2 linked regions of the Oreochromis niloticus genome follow. The protein of the gene in region 1 purifies or fractionates together with the protein of each later gene. This does not show direct contact. Links are inferred from orthologs where the notes say so. Each region holds a gene or a part of one and is shown in the gene's direction. Other genes may lie near its edges.

Evidence for each region.
Region 2: the proteins of copa (region 1) and nudcd1 purify together in Homo sapiens (co-immunoprecipitation; 3 studies listed by BioGRID and IntAct, with this or other methods). This does not show direct contact. The link is inferred for Oreochromis niloticus from reciprocal best matches to the Homo sapiens genes COPA and NUDCD1.

What each region holds. Positions count from the first base shown.
Region 1 is NC_031982.2:26,258,862-26,271,592, forward strand, and holds the start of copa (coatomer subunit alpha), read left to right. Parts: upstream 1-6,430; 5' UTR 6,431-6,608; coding exon 6,609-6,648; intron 6,649-6,970; coding exon 6,971-7,084; intron 7,085-7,179; coding exon 7,180-7,253; intron 7,254-7,470; coding exon 7,471-7,551; intron 7,552-8,063; coding exon 8,064-8,140; intron 8,141-8,311; coding exon 8,312-8,421; intron 8,422-10,114; coding exon 10,115-10,224; intron 10,225-10,777; coding exon 10,778-10,877; intron 10,878-11,073; coding exon 11,074-11,292; intron 11,293-11,560; coding exon 11,561-11,711; intron 11,712-11,942; coding exon 11,943-12,009; intron 12,010-12,115; coding exon 12,116-12,191; intron 12,192-12,357; coding exon 12,358-12,440; intron 12,441-12,731. Other genes in the region: pex19 (peroxisomal biogenesis factor 19), read left to right, coding at 740-828, 2,167-2,329, 2,420-2,505, 2,587-2,760, 2,843-3,013, 3,102-3,146, 3,340-3,426. UniProt on the Homo sapiens protein: The coatomer is a cytosolic protein complex that binds to dilysine motifs and reversibly associates with Golgi non-clathrin-coated vesicles, which further mediate biosynthetic protein transport from the ER, via the Golgi up to the trans Golgi network.
Region 2 is NC_031985.2:12,075,103-12,087,522, forward strand, and holds the start of nudcd1 (nudC domain-containing protein 1), read left to right. Parts: upstream 1-6,094; 5' UTR 6,095-6,228; coding exon 6,229-6,343; intron 6,344-7,484; coding exon 7,485-7,639; intron 7,640-10,498; coding exon 10,499-10,684; intron 10,685-12,420. Other genes in the region: pkhd1l1.1 (PKHD1 like 1, tandem duplicate 1), read right to left, coding at 1-18, 128-182; transcription and mRNA export factor ENY2-2, read right to left, coding at 4,452-4,528, 5,284-5,358, 5,453-5,523, 5,627-5,694.

The sequences.
Region 1 (12,731 bases):
TGTATTTTGCATTCAGAGATGCTTTTCTGTGTTGACTGGTTGCATTGAGTGGTTATTTAAGTTAATGTTGCCTTCCTGTCAGCTCGAAGCTTCCTGGCTATTCTCTGACCTCTGACATCAACATGACATTTTCACCCAGAGAACTGCTGCTCACTGGATCTTTTCTCTTTTCACACCATTCTCTTTAAACCGCAGTGATGGTTGTGTGGGAACATCCCAGTAAATCAGCAGTTTCTGAACAACCATTTCATATTCTAAGTTACTTAAATAACCTTTCTTTGCCACTCTTGTGGTCAGTTTAAGATTAAGCAGGTTGTTGTGTTTTGCTAATTAAAGGTCAAAATGAGTGTTTGAAGAATGAAGTGATTGTTGATTAATTGATTAGTAAAAAAAAAAAAAAGTCACTGCCTTTGTGTTTTAAAATGTGAATATATTATGCTTTTGCTAATTTTCTTTAATAATGAAAATAATCCTTTTTTATTTTGAACTCAGAATGAGTTGATTAAAAACAAGAATTTTATAGAATAGACAATTTTATAGTTCAGAAAAATTGCTGCAGCATCATATGCTGCAGCAGGATGTCATATGCTGACATCCTGCCCATCAGTTATCCCAGTTATCCCATAGCAATGGGACAAACCCATAGCAATGGGATAACTGGATAATTATTTGTCAGTGAATATGAAACCATTAAATGCATTTTGACTGAATTGGTTCTAATGTCATCGCTTTCTTTCAGGTGCGTTGGATGACTTTGAGAAGGCGTCCGTCCCTCCAGCCCCTGAACCTGCAGCCGCTTCGTCCTCAGCCAGCAGTGGTGCACAAAAGGTGCTTGCGAAATAATTTAGAATAGAATGTTTAGAATAGAAGGCCAGCAGCAGCTTCCGGTTCAGATTTTTCTGCCTCAGGACACGGAGGAAGTGCGGCCGCTGCTGGGCCTTCTTTACCGGGGTGATGGTGTTGTGGGTCCAGGTGCCCAGAAACCTGAAGGTGGAGACAGATTCCACCCGTTCTCCATTTATAATCAGTGGGGAATGGACCTGTCTGTGCCTCCTGAAGTCCATTATGAGTTCTTTTGTTTTAAGGACGTTTAGCTTCAGGTTATTTTCTAAGCACCAGAGGGACAAGTTCTCTACATCCGTCCTGTATGCTCTCTCATCTCCATCAGAGTTGAGTCCAACCATGGTGGTGTCCCGGTGGCAAATTTTTAAATAAAAGTTTGGCTAATAGTGAATACCAATACTTTTTTTTTTTTTTTTTCAGTTTTTTCAGAATCAGAATCAGAATCGTGTTTATTGGCCAAGTATATGTGCAGACAAATACAAGGAATTTGGTTCCGGTAGATGGTGGCTATCAAGCACAGCAATGTAAAACACACACACACACACACACACGTCTATATATACATTACACATGCATACACATACATACACAAAGCTGTGTAAACCAACTATAAATAACTAAACTTATATACATAAAATACAGAAATGAAATGAGGTGGAATGAATACTACAGAATGTACATAAGGTGCAGTTGCAGTCTGGCAGTGGGGAGCAGTGTGACAGGTCAACTGTTTAGGAGGGAGATGGCGAGGGGAAAGAAACTGTTCCTGTGTCGGGTGGTCCTGGTCTGCAGGCTTCTGTACCGTCTGCCAGAGGGCAGTTGTGTATTACTGTTGTGTATTCCCCATAATGTTAGGAAAACTAGGAAATGTTGATTTTAAAGAAAGAACTGAGACAATTTGAAGTCTTTTCAGTCCTTCATCACTTTTTTTTTAACATTTCACCACCAAAAAAACTGAGGTCACACAACAGATAAACATCGCAACTTTCTTATTTCCTGATATCAGTAAATATCAGTATTTGCAGATGGCAATATTTGACTGATAAAGCAGTGCTTTTCTGTCTTTTTCTGTTAATTTTCTATCCAAAACTGCAAACTAGAAAGTGTCGGTGTTATTTTAGTTTTGAGCTTTCAAATGTTGGTTCTTTTACTATTAGGAAGCAAGACTGCTGCAGGTTTACATCAAGTGTAAGCTAGAGTCGGGTCTAGAACATAAAAACAAAACAGTTTCAATTCAGATGGAGTGAAAAGAAGAACATCTCCCTCAGTTTTTCCTTATTTCTAAATAAGGTATTTTGGGGTTTTTTTCTCTGCCTGTCTCAGCCCCCTTTGCTTGAGGACTGTAAGCTCTTCGAGACTCTCTTTGAAGGGGACATGGCTGCCCAAGCTAAGGAGGAGTGGGAGAAGGCCATGACGGAGCTGGCTCAGGAGGAACCGGAGCTTCTCCAACACTTTCAGAAGCTATCAGAGGCTGCGGGAAAAGTTGGTAAGATATAGGCTTGTGTTGACTATGGTTTACTTCTAGTCTTCTGCCTATTTTGGCTTTTTGGCAAAATACTCTGTTTATTCTGACCAGGTACTGACACTGCCTCCCAACAAGAATTCACTTCCTGTCTTAAAGAAACCCTTCAGGGGCTGGCCAAAAATGCAGACAACCTGAAGGTGGGTCAAGCTGAAATTGTGCAAATATGATGAAGGTTTTGCATATGAGAGCAATTTCATAGTCTGATTGTTTTCTTGCAGTCTTCGGGACTAGCTGGAGATGACCTTGTCAAAGCACTAGAGGGCCTAGGGTTGGAGGAGGGTGAAGGTGGTGGTGGTGATGATGGAAACATCCTGCCCATCATGCAGTCCATCATGCAGAATCTTCTCTCTAAGGAGGTGCTTTATCCATCCCTGAAGGAAATCACTACTAAGGTGTGCTTTTGGTTTTATAGCAGACATTATATTCTGCAGTATCCCATTCAGTAATTGTATTAACTGTACTTAATTCCTGCAGTACCCAGAGTGGCTGGAAACCAACAAACCGAGCCTTAGTCCAGAGGACTACCAGCGCTATGAGCAGCAGGCCAAAATCATGGGAGACATCTGTAAGCTCTTTGAGAGGGAGGAAGAGGGTGCAGCAGATAAAGAGAGCACATTTGAGAGGATCATGGACCTGATGCAAAAGGTGATGCAGCACTGTCTCTTATCTCATACAAACACCAGTTTATGTGTAGAGTGAAACTGGTAACTCATCCTGTTTCTTTTACCAACAGCTGCAAGACCTTGGACAACCACCCAAAGAGCTAGCAGGTGATGCGGTAAGTAAACACACCATTGTGTGTTTGACCTCGCTGTACAACTAAGATTTCAGGGAAAGAAAATGTGCTGTAATTTGATTGTCCCTTTCATAACAGAACTGCGGTTGATGTTTTAATCTGAATTTTATGTGATTTTAAATGAGCACAAATATTTATAGTTCTTCCTCTCTTTTTTTTTTTTCTTCCTCTCCAGCCTCCTGGCTTTAACTTTGACATGGACTCACTCAATCTCCCTGGAGGCCCTGGGGCCGGGTCAGCCGAGCAGTGCTCCGTCATGTGATGAGGGTAGTGGCGGTGTCCATCTGAAGCACTTGAGCCGAAGGGTCGCTCTGTGTGTGTCAGCAGCGGGGGAGAGTGACAGAATGAGAAGCAAATGTCAGGCAGGAGTGTGACTAATCCGTCATCACCGCTCTCCTCCTAAAGAGTAAAGTGTGTGGAAACAGAAGCAACATAAGGAATCACAAACAACACAAACACACATATTCTTCTCCATAAAAATCATGGAAGGCACAACTAAGAACATTTGGACATCTTTTCATTAGCAGCTGCCACAATTCCTTCACACTTTAATTTTAGCAGAGTTTCTGTAAGAAGAAAATACCACTGGCCTTCTCAGTGTTGTTTTTACATACTGTTTAACCTTATGGTAATTTACATCAAACCACTTCACGGGTATAAACGGTGCCTTTTCAAAGTGACTTTAAGTTGTTGTTTTTAGGTTTCATTAGAACGTGAAATTTCATCTATTATTCAGCTACAATCGGAGTTAAAATGGTCTGAATTTGCAATAACATCCCAAGTTGACACCAAGTGATTGTTTTCCAGCATTTCACTTAAGCTAAAAGCTTTAACTTAGAAAGTTTATGGTTAACATGCTAGAAAACTATGAAAAATGTGTACATTTGTTAGTTATTTAAAAGATTAAAACAACTAAAGAGGAGTGAAGCCCTCATAAGAGATTTCCTTTACCTCTTAAAACTAAGCCAGCTAATTTAATAAGACCCATTTGCTATTCCTATTTCCAAAATATTGATTTGAAGTGATTGATGATTCCTGGATGCCTTTGCTGTGGTTGAAGTGATCATTATAGTGTAGAGTAACTGTGCAAAGTGCTTCCCTGTGATTCCCAGTGTTTTCAATGTGCAAAATGGTGTTTTCCTTTTGGCATGGGGTCTCCGCTGGGAAACAACAATCACCTGAGGTCATGAAAATAAACCCTATAAAAGTGCGTCATGTTTGTTCCAGAGAGGGCGACAGACAGTGTAGTAAACATCACATTGTGTTTCGTGAAAGGGAGAGAGAAAGAGGTGGCTAATACATGGAGATGCGCTATTGGGTAAGACATCAACAACCTGATGTTGGCACTTTCTGGCAGTGCCTGTCGGGTTTGTGTAGCGGATAACAGTTGACTTCTGTAACTGTAGAGAGAGATCTAGATATCACACGACCACCAGCCCATCAGTGACTGTATAATAAAGGGTTCTGTGAAAGGAATCAGTCAACCATGCACTGAGAAGAGATGCGATTTACATCAGCTGAGGGGAGTGCTGCTGCAGAGGTTTACAGAGACCTGTGGTTTCATCCCATTGTGGGGTGGGACTCAACTCTCAGGGCCGATGCAAATGTTTCCCACAGCACCGTTAAAAGTAATAAAAAATAATGATGATAATAAAACTTGTTTTTGACACTATTCTTCTGTAAATATATAAAATAAAACTAATGATATACTGTAATTGTTCCCGGTGTGATTTTTGTCATTATTTCTTTCATACTGCTTATGGAACATGAGTAGAAATATTGTGTCATAATCAACTGCATTAAGAGAAGTTTTACTATAAGTTTACTGCACTTCAGTTTGTCTATGCTGTAGTCATGACTAAAGCTATGGTCATTTTATAAAATATGCTGCATTACTGGAGAAAATCTGTAGTAAATGAAGTAAAGGATTTTTTAAAATTTAAATTCTCAAGTAATAAATAATAAATTATAAATTTATATACACTCATTTTGAACATGTCACTGTAATTTGGGGCTTTTAATGACTTCTTTTACAATGTCTTTAACATGACAAAACCTGTTAACATCTTATTAGTAATCTTCATTGACTACAGCTGGTAGTTTCTCTTTGTCAGCATGCCACTCAGATAAAGATTGAGTTATTTGGCCACAGTGATAAAGGGTTTGTTTGGGGGATTAAAGGAGAGTCTTTCAAAACACTGTACCAACTGTCAAGCGTGGTGGTAGTATCATGCTCTGGGGTTTTTTGCTGCCAATTGTATGAGTACACTGGACAAAGTGGATGGAAAAATGAAGAAAGGGAACTAGTTCTAAATTGTTCAATGTTACCTCAAATCAACAGCTAGACATTTGAAACTTGAAACACGGTTGGATTTTCCAACAGGACAGTGATCCCAAACACACATTAAAACTAAAATAGATACAACAGGCTTCTGGAATGGCCTTCTCAAAGCCCTGACCTCAACACTCTTGAAAATCTGTAGACTATGATTATAAGCACATGCCATGAAACCAGTCAGCATAAATAAATTCTACCAAGTCTGACAATAAGAGTTCCATCCAGTAAGAATTATTCTGACTGTTTTTAAAGTCATTAAAGATGTATGATGTCCTATAACCCAAACCTGGAAAACGAACAGGTCAAAGAAATCACTAAAAGCCCCAAATTACCACAACCTTCATGCCTACAAATGCGTGTGTGTAAACTTCTGACCACAACTGTATTTTGAGACGTTTAAAGAGGAAAGAATTGTGTAGAAGTCCACTTTCTTTTTGTTGCAATCCTAGATTATTGATTTTTTTTTTTTTTTAATCCAGTGGAAACGCATTACTTCACATTACAGGCGCCCCCGCGTGCCACGTATTGTGCCTGCAGCAGATGACGTCATCAAATTATAATTTGCAGTCGGATTTAGAAAAAAAGAATTTTAGAATCGTTTATGAAGAAAACAATCTTAATCTTAATTAATTTTTTTTAATTATGAATTTCTCACTTTAATCTAATAGAATTTGTGAGTTCATGACATTGACATTTTAAAGAATAACCTTTTTGTCTCTTAGATTTTTACCGCTTTTTTAAAGAAACGAACGACTCTTTATCCGAGTACGTATATTTATTTCATACGTCTAAGGAGTGCTTGGAAATATACAGATTAGATTTGTTATGACGGCATTTAGTCGCATATGTCTTGTCTATGTGTTACATTTCTACGCGCCGCTGCCGTGGAACTTTCTGCGTCAGATTTTCGTCGCAAAACTTTATTGTTCAAAACCGGAAGACAAAACGGACTACGTGTCAGGAAAAAGGAGAATCAACTAAATGGGCGAAGGTGGTCAGGCCGCTTGATTCAACATATCTGCAGAGTTTAGTCCTTTTTAATTATTTGCTCTGGCTGAGTTTTGTCTCAGCATTAAAAAGAAGACCTTTGCGGTTCACCAGTAACGATGTTAACAAAATTTGAAACGAAGTCGGCCCGTGTCAAAGGTAAGAGTCTGCTAGCTACTTATTAGTAAAGAAGCTAACGTTAGCTAGTTGACGTTATCGTCCTCGGTTGATTATTCATTCAGAGTTGTCTCTTTATTCTTGTTTTTAAATAGATTTTCCTCCGACTGTCTCTAACTAATTTGTCGTTATAGTGTCTTATTCAGATGTAGCGATAAATGGACAGTAGTTGTACGTGTCCTTAGCTGTCCGGCTAACATCACTTTGCATGTTTAAAAAACCGCTGTAAATTAGGATGATGCTGGTCGTCTGAAGTGTAATAGCCTCTTCTGTGAGAGATCTGACGAGCTGTTTTACATTTCAGGCCTGAGCTTCCATCCCAAACGGCCATGGGTTCTTGCAAGTTTGCACAACGGAGTCATCCAGCTGTGGGACTATCGGATGTGTACACTTATTGACAAATTCGATGAGCATGACGGTAAGACGGTGTTTTAGCTCGAGTACGCTGCTTTAGCTTACAGACTGTGTTATTAATGGAAGTGAGGTGTGATTTAATGTGGTCTCTCACCACAGGTCCTGTCAGAGGGATTGATTTCCACAAGCAGCAGCCCCTGTTTGTGTCTGGAGGGGATGACTACAAAATCAAGGTGGGACTGCTGTGGCATCAACACTCTCACTAAATGTCATGAAGCTGGATAAATGTTGTTTAAGTGCTTATTTTTATGTTTCTTTGGTTTGAGGCAGTATCTCATACTCAGGATTTCTAATATTTTGCCTAAACATCTAAGGTGCTGCCATGTCTTAATGCACTACTGTAAAATGAAACCTAGGTGAGAGCTGAGTAAATGTTCTTTTTGTGTACAGGTGTGGAACTACAAGCTGAGGCGCTGTCTCTTCACCCTCCTTGGGCATCTTGACTACATCAGAACCACCTTCTTTCACCATGTGAGTTGTCCTGCTGTTTTAACATAGAAAATGGACAAGTGACAAATTAAAGGAAACCTTGAACCTTTGACTCCTGCAGTGACTCTCCTATTTTGAACTACTTGTGCAAATCAATGGAGATATTCAAGATGATCACCTTTTATCCTGTGAAGTGCTCTCTTCCAGAATGGCCTCCACCAATCTGGCAATAGGATTCATTAGATTAAATTATGCAACTTGTATGCTATGGCTTTTCCAGTCACCAGATCTTAGCCTATCATTCAAGATAGGATAGGTTGTCTCCAAGTCCACGGGAGAAATCATTAGTTTTATTTGTGATGGTGGAGCACTGTGCAACGCTAAAGCTGGGATTCAGTACAGTACTACATATTATGGTAAACACTTTGTCTTTAAGGGGTTTTAATTTATATTGTCACCCCACTGGATTAGTACTTCCTTCTGTTTTTTTTTTGTAATTTATGTTAGAACAATTTAGACTTAAGTTATTTCATTAATTGTCACCTTGCCTGTAGGAGTACCCCTGGATTCTGAGCGCTTCAGATGATCAGACGATTCGCATTTGGAACTGGCAGTCCAGGACGTGTGTCTGGTAAGACACTGTGTAAAGTTTAAACTGTTGTTTCTCACAACTTGCACATAGTTAGGCTGTTTAATTGAGATTTTAAATAAACAGAGGAATGAAAATTGTTAAAATTTACCATAATGAAAATGAATGGTCTGCCCTAATTTCTTATGTTTCCTATTTCTTTCTTCTCTGCAGTGTGCTGACTGGCCATAATCACTACGTGATGTGCGCCCAGTTCCACCCATCTGAGGACCTGGTGGTGTCGGGCAGTTTGGACCAGACTGTGCGAGTGTGGGATATCTCCGGTGAGGGCCTGGGGATGGCAGACCAGAGGACAGCGGGCTGGGTTTTGGGGGAGGGGTTGGGAGCAGAGTGGTACAGATGAGGAGGAAGAAAACAGGAGCAGGACCGAAGTGAAGTCCTAAACCTCTTCTTCCTCTCTGACTTGTAGAGGATAAAACTCTGTGGGCTGTTTGCAGAAACACCTCTCTTTTGATAGATGGTGAGAGAGTTAGATGCAGTGGAACAAATTTATGGTGTGGTATTTATTTATTTTTTTAATTTAATACTACACTGTAAATAAAAGCTCTGAAAGGAGAAAGGCCTTACAGATCAGATAGATGCACAGTGAAAGGATAAAATCCACATAGATGGATAATTGGAGAGGTGTTTCTGTGCCTGTGCATGCTGTAAAAATCTTGTGGTTTTTCTTTCTCCTGTTTCTTGTCTTTAGACTAACTGCACTCATTTGCTTTCACTTCCTTTCATGTGAACATGCATAAGTTCTAACATTCACCAATCCTGGGTTTATGGAATTTAACTTAGTTTTTGGATTGAGCATGGTTGCATCCATTTGTACTTTTTTTTTTATTTTTTAACTTGTCTATCACATGACTTAACTGCAGCATGTGTTTTCATTTTTTTATGATAAATACATAGTATGTTTATGGGCAGGTTTAGCTTTAAGGGGTTACTTTGAACTCATACTCACAATATAGAAAATCCATACTGCTTTTGCATCCAAACAAAAACATTAATTGGTTTTAAAAAAAGTAAATCTTTTTTTTATACACTTAAACTTTCTGGCTGTCCCATATTTCTATATGACCTATGACATTTGCACGACTGGCTCTACTATTAAAAAAAAATAATAATAACATGAAATATACTACAGGTTTATATTTCCTGTAGTCATTGCAACTTATTGGTATCATCTTCATTCCTAACCAATAATTGTGGCATTTCAGACTATACTAACTGCACGTCATTTAAACATTGTGACTGAAATGTGCATGAGCCTTTAAGAAAGCAAACTCCAAGACTCATAATCCTGATACTCAACGCCCCATCGAGGCTCACCTTTACAATGCTAGCTACCACCCACTCCACCTCCATCAGCCAAGTCCACACACTCCCTGTGTCCTCCTTATCCCATGCTCTCCCTGGAAACATCCACACCTGCACATGGGTTCCTAGTGTCATTTCTGTTTCCTGCGTGTCATCTCTCTCTGTGCTGTTGTACTGTCTGCTCACCACATTGTTTTAACAGGCAGGAATCATGAATACAAGCTGTGTTTTCTCCATCTTTTTTCATTTCCTGATCTCACTGAGTCTCTGAAATAATCAGCTACCTTGCTCTGCTATCCATCCAAATCACAAGTGATTCCGATTTCTTCTGTAAGATGATGATTAATTAAACCAATCAAAGCATGGCTGCAGGAATGATTGTTTCCAGACTCAAGCTGGCAGTCAATGAGAAAGCAGAGGTTGTGTTGGTGTGTTTCAAACCTGTGTGTGTGTTCAGTAGTACAACAGTGCGCTGTGTTTTTAAACCCCCCTTTTTGTGGCCTCGCTTCTCCAATGATGATTCTCCAAATTTGATATCTAAATAATATGTATCTTGTTTTTCCCCATGTTCCGATCCTCTACTGTGGTTGTGCCCTGTGTAACTTGATTATGGCTCCCCCCTTTGCATGCGGTGCTCTCTGATGGTTCCAGGTTTGAGGAAGAAGAACCTGTCTCCAGGTGCTGTGGAGACGGACGTGCGCGGCATCTCTGGTGTTGACTTGTTTGGTGCCTCTGATGCTGTTGTTAAACACGTCCTCGAGGTGAGAAGCAACTTTGTACCTTTTGTAAATGTTGTGGTCGTTTGAGTGAATCAGCCTTTAAAGGTTACTGGGGGGAACCTTCATTTGTTCCTGGTATCTCATTACAGGGAAATGTCCATTCGTAGTCTTCGGCTCACATATTGTTTGGATGTCCTTTTTGTTTTTGTTTTTTTTCCTTTTACAAAATATGAAATGCATCCTTTAGAGTGAAAATATAGAGACAAGTTCATTGTTAATGAGGTTCTCCAAATCATCAAAGTCCATGATGCAGTTCTGTCTGGAAAACACCACCTTTTAGCCCGAGCTAGCAGTTGAATCTGTGTTTTAAGGGGTATGTGATTACGACTTAAGGTCAGAAATATTCAGTCATAAAAAAAAAAACTACATTGCTTGGGTTTTGTTTTAATGTAGTATTTTATGGTTTCTGTGTGATATATTATTTATTTAATGGTACTGAAACAGCTTCTCAGAGAGTAACACAGTTTAGTTTCATATAGAACGATGCTGTGCTATGACAGCTGTTTGTGTGACTTGAGGTTATGTTTATGTTCAGGGTCACGATCGTGGGGTCAACTGGGCAGCCTTCCACCCCAGCATGCCTCTCATTGTGTCTGGAGCTGATGACAGGCAGGTGAAGATCTGGAGGATGAATGGTGAGTGACTTTACATGAGCGTTAGAAGTTGATGTTCACGGAAACGAAAACCCCTGACTTTTCTGTTATGTGCCAAGAAGTAGGTATTTCATCAAGCTAACTACTTCACTAATTGTTTCCTGCTGTAACTGTTTCTGCTTGTTTTTTGTCTTTAATCATGTCTCATTTTTTTGTTTTTCCCCCCGTCTGTGTTCAGAGTCCAAGGCATGGGAGCTCGATACATGCCGTGGGCACTACAACAACGTGTCCTGTGCCATCTTCCACCCACGCCAGGAGCTCATTCTGTCCAACTCTGAGGACAAGAGCATCCGGGTGTGGGACATGTCCAAAAGGACTGGAGTACAGACCTTCCGCCGTGATCACGATCGCTTCTGGGTGCTGGGTGCCCACCCAAACCTCAACCTGTTTGCTGCAGGTAAGTGCTGACAGTGATCTGATCAAAACAGGAACATTAACAGATTTTCAAGTTCAAATATCAATTTGCAACGTAGTTGTTTGGTTAGTTTTGAAGCTGATCCTTTGCATATCAGGGAAAATTTGAAAAAAAATGATTTTAATGGTTCTCTTAAGTTCACATGGCCTAGTAGCAGGAAATGTCTGCCATGTATTTCCTGAGGAGGGGAAAAATACAGTGTGTACGTGTGAAATTTGCACTGACGGATGGTTTATTTTGTGTCTTTAAGGTCATGACAGTGGTATGATTGTGTTCAAGCTGGAGCGTGAACGTCCAGCCTACGCCGTACATGGCAACATGCTTTACTACGTCAAGGATCGCTTCCTCCGCCAGCTGGACTTCAACAGCAGCAAAGACACGGCTGTTATGCAGCTGCGCAGGTGTGGTGTGCACAAGATAGCATTTTGAGTATACGAATACTGTACATTCACCTCTTTATTTCTGCAATCAAAAAGAAATTGGTCTAAGTAATTGTGGCTAGTGCTTGTTTTTGTCTTTCGTGGGGTTTTTGGAGGGTTTTTTTTTTTTTTTGTTTGTTTAAACAAACAAAAAAAATTTTATTTTAAAACCAAAATAACCATTTTACCTGTTTTACCTTCTCCTTAACTTAGTGGGTCTAAGTTCCCAGTGTTCAGCATGTCTTATAATCCCGCTGAGAACGCTGTCCTGCTCTGCACTGTAAGTGTCTCTTAGTTAAAATGCACTCGCACACATTAATTACTTACTGCTCAGTTAAGTGTGTTGGTTCGCTTCTGTTTATTGAAATGCTCTTTACCTCCTGCAGAGAGCAACCAACCTGGAGAACAGCACCTATGACCTGTACTCAATTCCCAAAGAAAGTGACTCTCAGAACCCCGATGGTAAAAAAACAACAACAAAAAACCCACTTTAGTTATGTTTTTTCTCACACTCTGTAAATATTTGTTTTGTTTTGTTTCTTTACTTATTGAATGTAACTATATGCCTCCAGTTTGTATCTCCTTGAATGAAGTAACAAGAGGCTGTCTTTTCTTTTTTAAATTCCAGCACCGGAGGGGAAAAGGTCTTCTGGTCTGACAGCAGTCTGGGTGGCCAGGAACAGATTTGCTGTGTTGGACCGTATGCATTCTGTAAGTGCATATGAAAGTTTACAAAGTAGTGAAATATATATACGAAATTCCTTTTTAAAAGATTTTTTGAAAAGTTGGTTAATTCTATAAAAAGAACTGAAACTGTTGATCAGTAAATCATTTGTTCTTAACAAATGATCGATTAAAGGCAGTCTGGCATGTTAATCTCCAACTGAAACAATCAAGAGTCCATTATGTGACTTGTGCAGCCTACAAATATTTAAAGAAAACTTTTTACTTTGCTTTTTGTCCTGATCTGTAATTATTTATCACAACGTTTTCTTCATTTCT
Region 2 (12,420 bases), on another chromosome or scaffold:
AGGTAACGCGCTGAGCATCTGTAAAATTGAATTAAAACAACATGAGAAATCTTTTTTCCTCTCTATGAACAGCGAGCTAAAAAACTGAGTTTAGAATAGAAGTTGTTGTTTGTTTTACTTTACTTACCGCAGCAACACCAAAGGGCGAGGAGGAGAGCTGCGGCCTTCCACTTGACCTCCATCCTGAAGAGCTCCCAGGTTACTTTCCTGCCTCACCTGCGCCCCTCTCTCGACCAATTGTGAATCACGTGACACAAAAGTACTATTTAAAACAAAAGTATTATTGACATTTATTGACAGCCATAGAATAAATTTATGTACTAAAATATACAATTATTTTAAAAAATATTATTTTTAAAAATTGTATTTTCCATTTTCCAGTGTGACATTTATGTGAACAAAACTCACCAGCAGTGAGAAACCCTTTTTAACCTCTTGACTGGGAAACAGTGTGAGTTCAGGGACGCGCACTACCTTTTTATAACGTGCTCAGGGTCCCGCCCCTCACCTGAAACTGGGAGGAGACTGGAAGAACATTTTGCCGCATTTATCAGATTTTCAAGATGTCTGCATTTAAAAACAAAACGAAAGTGAGTCAAAAGCGTGATAAATAATGGCTCCATGAACACGGAGCGTAATGATCTATGAAAATGTGGAGAAAGAAGTGGAGCTATAAAAAGCTAAAGTTTGCAAAGTTATACACGTTTTGCATTTGTTGAGTTTCAGTAAATATGGCCTTTGTGTAGCCTTTGACTTTTTCACACCACCGTTTCATGACTGCTGGATTAAATTTGCATTAAAGTGCAATCATTTTCGCTGTGCACAATGTGCTCTTGAAGTGGTCTTCATGTTATTCTGTCCACGTTTCATTTATAAAACACATCGTACAGTAGTGCTTCACATTAGCCCTTTCAGTCTTTGAGTGTTTGTAAAACTGTCTGTGATCATAACAATGATAAATAAAACTCCTTGTGATGCTTGCAACCTTATATTAATTGCAGATTTCCTCTTCAACTAATTTGTGCCTGGAACCATAAAAAGAAAACAGATCTAAAACTGGCAAACAGTAAATAATAATAATAATAATAAATAATGTCAAACATAGTTCACTGACAGATTACAGACCAGTCTCTTGGTGACCCTTTTTCCTTTAGACTATGTCTATTTAAAAAAATCCAAACAATGCATAGAAAGATTGCCTAATTAAATTCACCAAAGTGGGTGTAATATTCATAAATATGAAATGATTCGAAGGGTGTCCTCATGACTTTACAGATGGAATCACGAATGCCAAACCGCTGTTTACCTTCAGATGCCTGACATCAGAGAAATATTTCAGCATGATAATCATCCAAAGCACATTGTCAAAAATCACACGAGTGTTTCAAGAACAAAAAAACAAGTTGTTTCAACTATTTCACCTGACTTAAATCCAACAAAACACCTTCAAGGTATTTAAAAGAAATGTAAAGTAACAAACCTCTTCCAGATTGTTACCAAATTGTCTTTGAGCAATGACGTGACGTTGTTCTTCAACACAGGTATTCTCCATGTACACCTGTACAGCTTTGTTGTGATTGCAGGGGATTTTAACAACAGCAGTTTAAAGACTGCTCCCTAAGTTCAAGCAGAGGTATGAACATGCTGGACTTATAATCAAACCCCCACCCCCACCTCACCCACTCTGATCACCTTTCTGTTACGCCTGAGCCTGCTTACAAACCATTCCTGAAGCGCAGCAGACCAGTGAGAAAACAGACCAGGATCTGGCCAGAGGATGCAGCCTCAGCACAGCCTCAGCACTAAAAACTGCTTTAGGAACACCGGGTGGGGGGTGTTCAAGACAGCAGCCTCGCAGGGAGACCAGATAAACAATGTGGAGTACGCAGAGGCAGTAAACAGCTACATTGCTAAGAGGATGTCACTGTAGTTAAGACCTTCACTGCACGTGGCAACCAGAGACCCTGGTGGAGGATGAGACTGCTCTCCGTGTGGCCAGGTCTGCGAGGGACACCTCTGCGAGACAGGAAACACCAGACGAACGTGGCAGGGAGTACAGGCACTGATGAATTCCAAACCCATGCAAGGGGTCAACAAAGATGACACTTCTTTTCCGGACAGGTTTAATAACTTCTTTGCATGCTTCCAGGCATCAAACTGAACATACAGAGGGAAAGTGGGTTCTCCATTATCTGCAGGGCCAGCTGTTATCATAAGTGCAGCAGATACCAGAGGACCCTGGCCAGGGTCAACCCACGGAAAGCTGCAGGTCCAGATAACATCCCAGGACATGTGCTCAGAGACTGCACTGGTGAGCTGGCAGATGTCCTAAATGATATTTTTAACATCTCCCTCAGTCAGGCCACCGTACCCAGATGCTTCAAAACATCCACCATAGTGCCAATAGCAAAGAAACCAGTTTTATCTTGTCTAAATGGCTACGGGTCCGTCACATTGACAACAATTGTGATGAAGTGTTTTGAACAGCTTATCAAACCACACATCACAGCCACCCTTCCTGCATTAATTGACCTGCTCCAGTTTGCTTATCATCCTAACCACTCCACAGAGGATGCATTAACCACCACCTTGCACTCAGCCATCACCCATCTGGACATATGCCATACTCCTATTGATTTTAGCTCAGTGTTTAACACCATCATTCCACAGAGACTACTAGAGAAACTCCACTTACTGGGGCTGAACACCACACATGTCTTGGGAGAAAGATCTCCAAACCCACCACGCTGAGCGCTGGATCTCCTCAAGGATTTGTTCTCAGGCCGGAAGATACAGATCCAGCACACTCCTCTCAGTATCAGCGACTGCCCAGAGAGTGGAAGACATCAGGTTCTTGGATGTTCAGATCTCGAAGGACCTGAGCTGGGACAAGAGCATCTCAGTGATCACAAAATGGGCCCAGCAGGGACTGAATGAAACAAGCCTCTGTCCCCTCCAGCATCCTCAGGACTTTTTACAGAGGCATGTTCTACGGTATATCAGCGTGGTGTTCCAGCTGCAGTATGTCAGACAAAACAGCACTGCAGAGGATAGTTAGAGCAGCTCAGAAGGCCCTTGGAGTTTCCCTCCCCTCTGTCTAAGACCTTTTCAAGAGCCACAGCAGGAGCAGGGCACTGAAAATCATAAAGGACCCCTCACCCCCCCTCAATTCTTTGAACTGTTGCCATCAGGCAAACGGTTATAAAAGCCTCCAACAGCTTCCTCCCACAAGCTGTTAGAATGCTGAACTGTTGATTTGGTTATGTACACTATCATACCCAGGAGTCTTTAGAATTAGTTTTAATTAGTTATCTTTCTTACTCAGTTCTTTATTTATATAGTTATCTTTTTTTTCTTTTAAAGAGACTATTTTACAGTGATGCGTCTGGGATGCATGTGTGTCTGATTGTGCAGGGCAGGGTGGTTGCATGATGTTTGTGTGTGTTCTAATATTTTTAAGACCCTGAACAAACACCCTTTCATTTTGCCTGCACTACGGCAGTATGAACAGCAGAATTGAGAATTTAACATTTAACAAGCTAAATGAGGCCTGTAGAGTCTGAGATGTAGCTCATATATCAAAGTTTTATATCAAAATTTGCTGGGATGTCTCCATTACGTGTTTTCCACTTGTGACTGACTAATCTTTCTCACTGTAGAATGATGAGCTTCAAATTATTTAGAAATATCCTTTACAAACTTCCAAGACTGATGGGCAGAAACAAGTGCTCTTCGAGATCATTGCTGATGTCCTTCCACCTTGGCACTGCATTAACACACCGGAAAGCTCCAGAGCAGGGAACTGCCAAAACTTCTACTTTTATAGAGGTGCTCACACTTGCTGATGATCAGCTATTCAAGTGCATTTGATTAGCAGCTACTTAGCCTCTTAATTCCTATGGAGGCAGTAATGATGTACTTTTTTTCACACACTCTTTTTGTATTTTGTGCAGCAAGTTTTGTTTTGTTATTTATCTGAGATAATATTTATCTAATTTCAAGACATGTTTAAGACCAGATCATTTTTTATTAACTCCTGATCCGTAAAACCTACTGCCAATCAACATTATTACTTCTGGGTGTATTTTCTCAACAACTGTAAATAATTCAAAGTTTGAGATGCAATTATAAGTTTTTGGTTTTTCGACATGGGCGACAGACTGGGGACCTGTCGAGGGTGTCCACTGCCTTTTTCACTAAGACTTAATCTGTCTGCACTTTTGGGTTTGGATCAACCAGACAGGTAGCAATTACAACAAGAATGACCAAAATAGGCATGACTTTATTTTTCTTCTCCAAAACTGCAGCATAAACTAAAAATCAATATGAAAACACACAATACAAAATAAAATTAGCACTAAAATGAACACAATAAACAACAGTTTGGATTTCACTCGTGGATCAACAGTGAGTAAAAACAAACAAACAAACAAAAAAGGGAATTGTGTCATTCACAAGGTTGCATGTTGAGCTAAAAAAGCTCTGATTCTCTGGAGGAGTTCTTTCTTCACACTGTCTGGTACGAGTGCTGCAGAGGAAAGAGATGAAGAGATGAAGAGAGATTAAGTCAGAACACAGAATAGAAACTTACATACTCACACAACACGATACTTTTATTGTCAGAAGTTGTCATCCTGTCAGCTGTTTCTAATATTTTTTCTATGTATGTTATAATGTTGGCCTGGTAGATAAAATATGACTTTTAAGAGGCACCAGCTCCCTCTACAACTTCCTACGAAGCTCAGAAACATTTCCAGAAATCACCATGCCATGCACGAATAATGGTTAATATCCAATATCCAATATGCACGAATAATGGAAAATGATCCAGAAACACTGCCATCTTCTCTAGGCTAAAGCTCATTTAAAATGACTGAGGCATCTGAAAGTGTTCTTCAAATGGGCAGTAAATGTCCAAAGAAAAACTCTGAAAGACCTTCAGAAGGTCTGAAGAACTACTACTGAAGACCAGTTTAAAACAGTTTAGAGAAAATACAGCATCTGGCTCCTTGGAAGAAAAATATAAAGAAGTGAGGGGTGGTTCAAGACTGTATATCAGGGAAACCTGAAATCGTAAGAGCTGTAATCAATAAGTAGTGCTGACCTACAACATTAGCAGTTTGTTAGTTAGCATGCACAAAGATGTATTAGGGATAAAGATGATGTGCAGTGCTAAATAAATAAATTGACTTGTACATCTAAATCAACGAAGCAAATGAGTATGCTCATCACTTCTAACAGTCTTCCTCCCCCTGCTGTTGTGTTTGAACATCTGTACTGTACCTCTGCCTTTTGGTGTGACCTCTGTGACCAGGTCCTCCACTGTGACATGCTCCAGGCCCTTTTCTCTGATCACATCTGGCTCAAACGGGAGGTAATGACTTTAGTGACTTTTGTTTTTATAGCACCACGACATCATCGCCGGACACTAACATAAGCACAAGTCAAATACCTTTGCAGTGTGCTTTCAGCTGATCCTTCCACCCACACTCCACCAGCTTCGCTCTGAGCAACTCTTTCAACCTGCGGCCACACATTTAATTCACATTATGTGACTTAATATGTGCAATTCAAAACCACGCCAAACCATCCAGCACCAAATCACTGCAGTGAAAGACTCGCTTACCGCTCCCGTTCCCCCATCTCTATCAGCTTCTGGTTTATTGCAGCCCTCATCTGGGAATCTTTGCTCATGATCCGCCTGAAATTAAACACACACACCGACACAGTCAGCTTGGACGCAAGAGTATAATAAAAACATATATTATAATGTCTAATTTAGCTCCCTATCAGGTAGCCGCTACCGTTATCGAGAAGGATCAGCTGGGGAACATAAGGTCCCTTTACACAACGGAACCGTCTAAAAACGTTTAACGCTTAAAAGTTCCGGCTTTGGAGTGGTTAATCTTTCAACGTCAACCTGAATAACCAATGATAGTCTCATTAGTGTTCAAAATACCTGTTTAATGACGAAAAATATAATACAATACATTTAAACTGAAAACACTAAATTAAATCAGTTACTTAAGCATTTCAAGAGAGATTAGCTCAGGACTCAACTTCCCCTGCGCCCTGGGAGGTTTTGTCCGCCGTAAAATAGCTCCGTGTGAGAAAACAATGACGAAAACACAGGAAACGTGTATCACGCTGGCTACACATCACCCTCCTCCTCTTGCTGCACACAGGCTGTCATCAACTTGTGAATAAGCCAGTCTCATTGAAAAAGACATGACTGCGTCTAACTACTCATTGAAGGTCAACAGAGACCTGTTGGACCCAAACTTTGAGAGTTACAGGTTATCCTTGGACGCCATACCGACGTACAACATAGAGCTGGATGCTGGTGAGAAAAACTTAATGCAGTGCAGTTAGCAAGTGTGCTAGCCTAGCCCTGAGAAAGGTCCAGTATAACTTCTGTCCAGTATAACACTAAATAGGAATAGCAATGTAAGTTATTTGAAATTATCTCAGACATTTTATTGGCTGTCACTACGTCACGACGTCAGCTGTTGATGCTACATAATATTTTGGCAGCTGTATCTGTAGCTCAGTGGCTCACAATGAGATCTTAAGGTCCACCACTGTAACCTAATGAGCTTTCACACGATCACTAAGAAAAATCTGAACATTAGCATAGTTTAAACCACTGAAAATTAACAGATTAACGCTGAAGTGACTAATTACTACAATTTGTTCTTCATACACATACATAACTCATTTATATTGCCAGGACAAGTCAAGTGCACCAATCTTAAATAACTTAAAAACAATCATAGGGATGTTATAAGGTTAGTTTTGTAATACATGTTTTAACTTCAAGCTCTTAACTTCAGTTTGAGCAATACCAAATTAGTGGGGCTGCTGATCCAGATATGTACTTTAGTGATTAAAACGATAAGGGATGGAAATAGAGCAGCATTTTTAAAATTTTGCATAATCATATACCAAAGCTTGCTAATTCCTTTTAATCGAAACTCAGGCCAGCTGAGCTCACCAGAGTTGCATCTAAGTGTTTTCTACTACGTCTCTTATCCAGTTTATAAAACAGCTAGTGTGGGTCGAAAATCAACAATCTATGAAGTTTGTACCTAACAGGAGAATTCATTATAACATTGGTTTGGATACAATCTTACTGATATAAAAAGGTGCTTACACTTTGCACAGACATCCACTCACAGTAGATTCAGGCATGCATATTACAAGGTGATTAATGTGCTTTAAAAAAAAAACACGATACTTTATTTAGTGGGAACAATTCAGACAAATAGTAGCTGTAAAAAATAGTTAATTGCAGTTTTTTGTCACCGATAGTTCATCTTAGAGTAAAATGTTGAAATATTAAGATATGTTAAGATATATGTAACACTTTCCACAAAGCAACTGTAGGAAAGGCAGAAGGGTAAACTGCTTTTTAAGTAACAACATAAATAACAGAAATTTGATTACTGCCGTATTTAATCTTTTCTTTTTCATATCTGCCGCAGCCGTGGAGGAGGTCAAGCTGAAGGACACTCAGTACACCCTGGAACATATGCGTGCCTTTGGGATGTATAATTACCTGCATTTAGACCCCTGGTATGAGGACAGTGTTTACTTTGTGGACTGCAAAGGACGGGTCCTCAATCTCACCGTCACTCTGGTGAGTTTGCAAATCCTCTTGTTTTTTGGGGTTATTTTTGGAAGTCTATATTCCTCGGCCTGTTTATGATTGTTGCCCCTCCATTGATGTCTAAGGTGTTTTCACACCTGCACTATTTTCTATGTGATGATGCACATTGTTCCACACACGAACATGGTAATTGTGCTTGCAGTTTTTCCTATGCAAAAAGACACCAAACAAACAAAAACACAAGTATGTAAGGTCATCAAGTGATCTGGAAGAGAACATCAAGGGTGAAAACACCATAAGAGAGCAATCACCGATCTTAATAAAAAATCTTTGATATTCATAAAACTAGCTCCTAGTGCCAACATTTTTCTTAATTTCTAAGAATTTCTCGCTAAAGTTACAACTAAATCTTGAAAAGGTGAAAGTTATTCACAAAGCATTTGCTTCTAAGATAAAAAAAACTGTGTGGAGTGAAAAGAAGGACTTACTTAGGAGTTCCTTAAGCAGAGGAGAAACTGGCAGAAAGAAGAAGCTTTGCCACTTTTTTTTCACCCTGTTGATTAAATAAAATCTTTGCGCTTTGCATAATAAGGTTAATTTATCTTTTTAAGCGTTAGAGGAATACAATTTGATGTAACACTTAAGACAAACAGAGTCTAACATTACACTGTGTGGTTAATTACAGCTGACTAATGGTAGTTAACTTGCCAGCATAATAACAGTGGTTTGGCAGCTGTAGAAACAAGCCACAGGTCAGTCTTGTGCATACATTAGTGCCATTAGTCTGTGCTCCAAATTCAGAATAACAGTGAGGTGATTAAAGCTGCAGGTTACATGTTTCATGGGTAAAGACTGTAGTCAGTATTCTGTTACATCTAATAATAAACTCAGCATTGACAAAATCATCATCACTAAAGTGTTTTGGAGCTGGAAAAATGCAAGTTGGGTCTGCCCAACCTTCATCAGCAGAGCAATCACGCAGATAGCTTTCACAGCCTCATGCTGTGAAGCAGTTTATTTTATTTTTCACATCTTAGAGCGTTCACAGACATGATGATCTCCCTCGTATTATAGCAGTAAATCATAGAATCTGAACAATTTTACTTATTATAATAATTTAGATCAATTATTAAATTTACCATCATGGCAAATGGATTTAACCTGAAATCTAACTCTCACCATGGGAATTTACGTAATCTGAGAGTTTCCTAAATCACAAGTTTGGAGTCTTTGCAAATGTTTTTAGGCAAATTTAGGAGCTCTTTGTTTTACAGTGTTGTTTTATGTTACCATTATATAACGTTTCATATTATGGGCCTGATGTTGTGATGGTGTATTCAATGAAGGATTTTTATGCGCCTGATGTGCCAGTAGGTGGTGACCAAACACTTGAGCATCAGCAGGTTGAGGGAAGAGAAAGGATGTCTGTGAAACACAAGAGTTTTAAAAGTTATGTTAAATTATATAATATTATTTCTAACCTTTTTTTTCCTTGGTCAAGATGCAAAATAATAAACGTCAGAATAAACGTGGCTCTTAGTATTTAGTCTGAAACACAACTTTCTGTGCAGTCTTTTGTCTGTCGTATGAATCACCCGAGCACATAAAGTTTGGATGAGCCCTTGTAGGTCTCCAGTTAATCACAGGAGCGATTATATAATTGACTCAAGGTTCTGATTGGTATTGTTACCCCGTACCAAGATGTTGAGATGAGGAGCAAAATCGTTCTCATGACCTTTTCAATCGAGCCTTCTTTTATGTCTTAGTCATCATTGACCATAATTAGACATAATTGGTGTCTCATTGGAGTTTTTTTTCTTTGATGATCATCACACTGTAATCCTGCGAGACAGTGTTTCTGGCTTTCAGTGGCACCATTAAATGAAATTTATGGAAAAGTGTTGCTCAAATTCTAATTACAGTGATCACATGATAATTATCATCCTTCAGCCTTTTGTGCTCGGTTGCTCGGCACATTGCACATAGAGGTTTCACACTCCGTTTCAGGGCATTAACGACACGGATGCTGGAGAAAGTGATACCAAAGGTGCATCGTACATTAGATAGCGATATAATGTGCCGTGCCACGCTCCATGGCAACAACGGGGTTGCTTCTCCACAGTCCTTTTGAAAAACGGTGTCTTCACTCAATTTGTGATGCTCATGTGGTGGCATATCTATCTATTACTAATAAGGCTTTCAGATTGTTGAATCACACGAGTGGCCACATGACAGCTGCTAACTGTCCCTGATGGGTACATGTTTTCTCTTACTCATTGTACCATTCTTTAGATTATAAGACTTTAGACAATAAGAAATTAATGCAAAATCATTTGGACTTTATATCTTCCACCCAGATACTTACTGTAAAACTCTTATGGGATGGAAGCAGCAACCTGGAGTTGAGCCGCCTATTAAACGTCTTGTGTTTGAGTCTTTGTGATTCATGACTGTACTACTTATTGTTTGATTGGATGTTAGCTGTAAGAATGCATGCATCACATATTTCCCAATATCCTACAATAGTTTCTTATGCTAAACTGAAGTGGTGACAAAATCAGTTTTGCCATGTTGTTCTCCATCTATAGCACTGAAATGAGCTTACTTGATATCCAGTCATTATTCCATTCATCCATCCTTCCTCCCCTTAACAGTCAAAGCAGTACAGTAATTGGTGTTAACATATTATAAATGTATTTTTTTTGTTTTAACTGGACAGAACATGCACTTTGACATATTAAAATAGGCATTTTTCAGTTGTTTCTTTGTTTCATTCTCATACACCAGCACACTGAGATTTCCTCTGCAGATATGAATGAATCTAAATGGCCTAATCTTTTTTTTATGAATGCAGTACTGGCTTACGGGTGTGTTGTGTTCTGAATTCAGGACACCGCCCTGGGGAAGCCGAGAGAGGTCTACCGTGTAACCGTCGAGTCCAGCCAGTGCGAGGATCGTCTTTGCGCCTCCCTCAGCCTGACCTCGGCGACCTGGGCAGCTCTGTCAGATGGTAGCGGTCGACTGTACCTCCTCCGCACCGGCAAGAGGGGAGACAGCTCCCATATGAAGTGGGAAGTAAGTATAGATGTTCTGTTTACTGCTGTAAGTGACGCACAAACGTGTTTGAGATATTTTTTGCCGTGGAAGTGAAGGTAAAAAGACACAAACCTGAATTCCCTCCGTGTACTATTGTAATACTGGTGCTGCTTTTTCTTCTGCTTTCTTGGCTTAACACCACTAATTATTAGCATTTGTAACTGACAGTTGTTCAGTCAGTTAGTCACTAGCTCATTGGCGTGTTCACAGCTGTCATAAATTAGGTCAAAACTGGGCGAGATTGGAGGTGTTTTGAATGTCCAAATATCTCTGATGATGTAATTTTGAGTCACTAAATATCTTTGTCAGTACTGCACAAGAGAAGCTGGGTTAGTAGTCAGTCAAAAGATAATTAGACATTAATTATTGGGCATAACTTGACCTGTTCCTGGGCTCTAATGTACCTGTGGTCCTAGTTGAATAATTGGTTAAGGAAATGAGTGGATTAATATAGCTTCGGCCACTGGTTGAGACACTTCTGCTGGTGACGGTAATAAACTATATAAGAGAAATGGACGTAGCTTCTTGGTCTAAAAGGAAAGCCAACTTGGTCAGCAGATGGTGGCCTTTCAAAAAGGATTCCAGTTAAATAAAGTATTAGTTGACTGGACAGTCGGTACCAGAAATACTGCTTGATTAAATGTGTTATTCTTAGCTTTGTCAGAATAAACTGGAATACAGTACAACCAAGCAGCCGAAGGAAAGAAAATCTAATTTGGTAAGCTTAGCCATCCTTTGCAAACTAATCTGACACTGTGTTTGTTTGCAACATTATGGTGACACTTAAAAACTGATTGATTTATAGGACTGTGATTAATAGTTTCATGCAACTCTTATAATAAACATGAAGTGACCAGGAACAGCCCTGCTCAGTACAGCTGAGTGTACAGTGAACTTGAGTTTACAGCCTGGACTGGTATAATGAAAGTTTCTCGCCTCTACAGCTGATTTCACCTTTAATGACAAACGCACAAGGGTGAATATTAAAATAATATAAAGATATTACTTTAAAGTGCTGATGGTTGAAGACACAGATAGCTGTAGCTTTCTGCCACATCTTACCTAGTAGTGTTTACTTGGTTTGTGGTCCCTTTGGGTTGTATCAGTCTTTCGTGTATAGTAATGAACGTGTACAGAAGATTGTGTCAGTAAAGAAGAATGTTATATTCCTGATTGAGTTAAAGTAATTATACAAAAAACTATGGCTGTTTGAAGTCTGTTTAGAACTGAAACTATATGTTTGCAAGAGTGGACTTCAGTAGGAAGCGAAAGGCTTTGGGTGAAAATCACAGCGAGATGGGCAAGTTGGAGAGTATTCAGACATGGTCACACTTTGTAAGGCTCCATCTTTTCACTCGATTTGTTCGTAATAAAAATGTCTTTTTTTGTGAGCATGGCAGATGGTGCTCTAAAAATTTCACATTCAGTAAGTAGTAACTCAAAGGCCAAAAAGGACAGCCTTGGGCTCCATGACGAACAGACACCTGGGATAATTTTTAAATGAAAATAAATCCTCCTTTGGCCAGAGTGAGATTTGAAAAACCAAGTCAAAACTGTAATTTAGAGAGTAAATAACAGCCTTATAATGGTGGATCAGCTACACTGATGTTATTGAACCGCTTTTAAAAATTCTGCATCCATTGTGAACATACTCTGTTACCTCTTTATGGGCTCTACATTCAGGACCACTGAAAAATACAGGTAGATTTTACTTT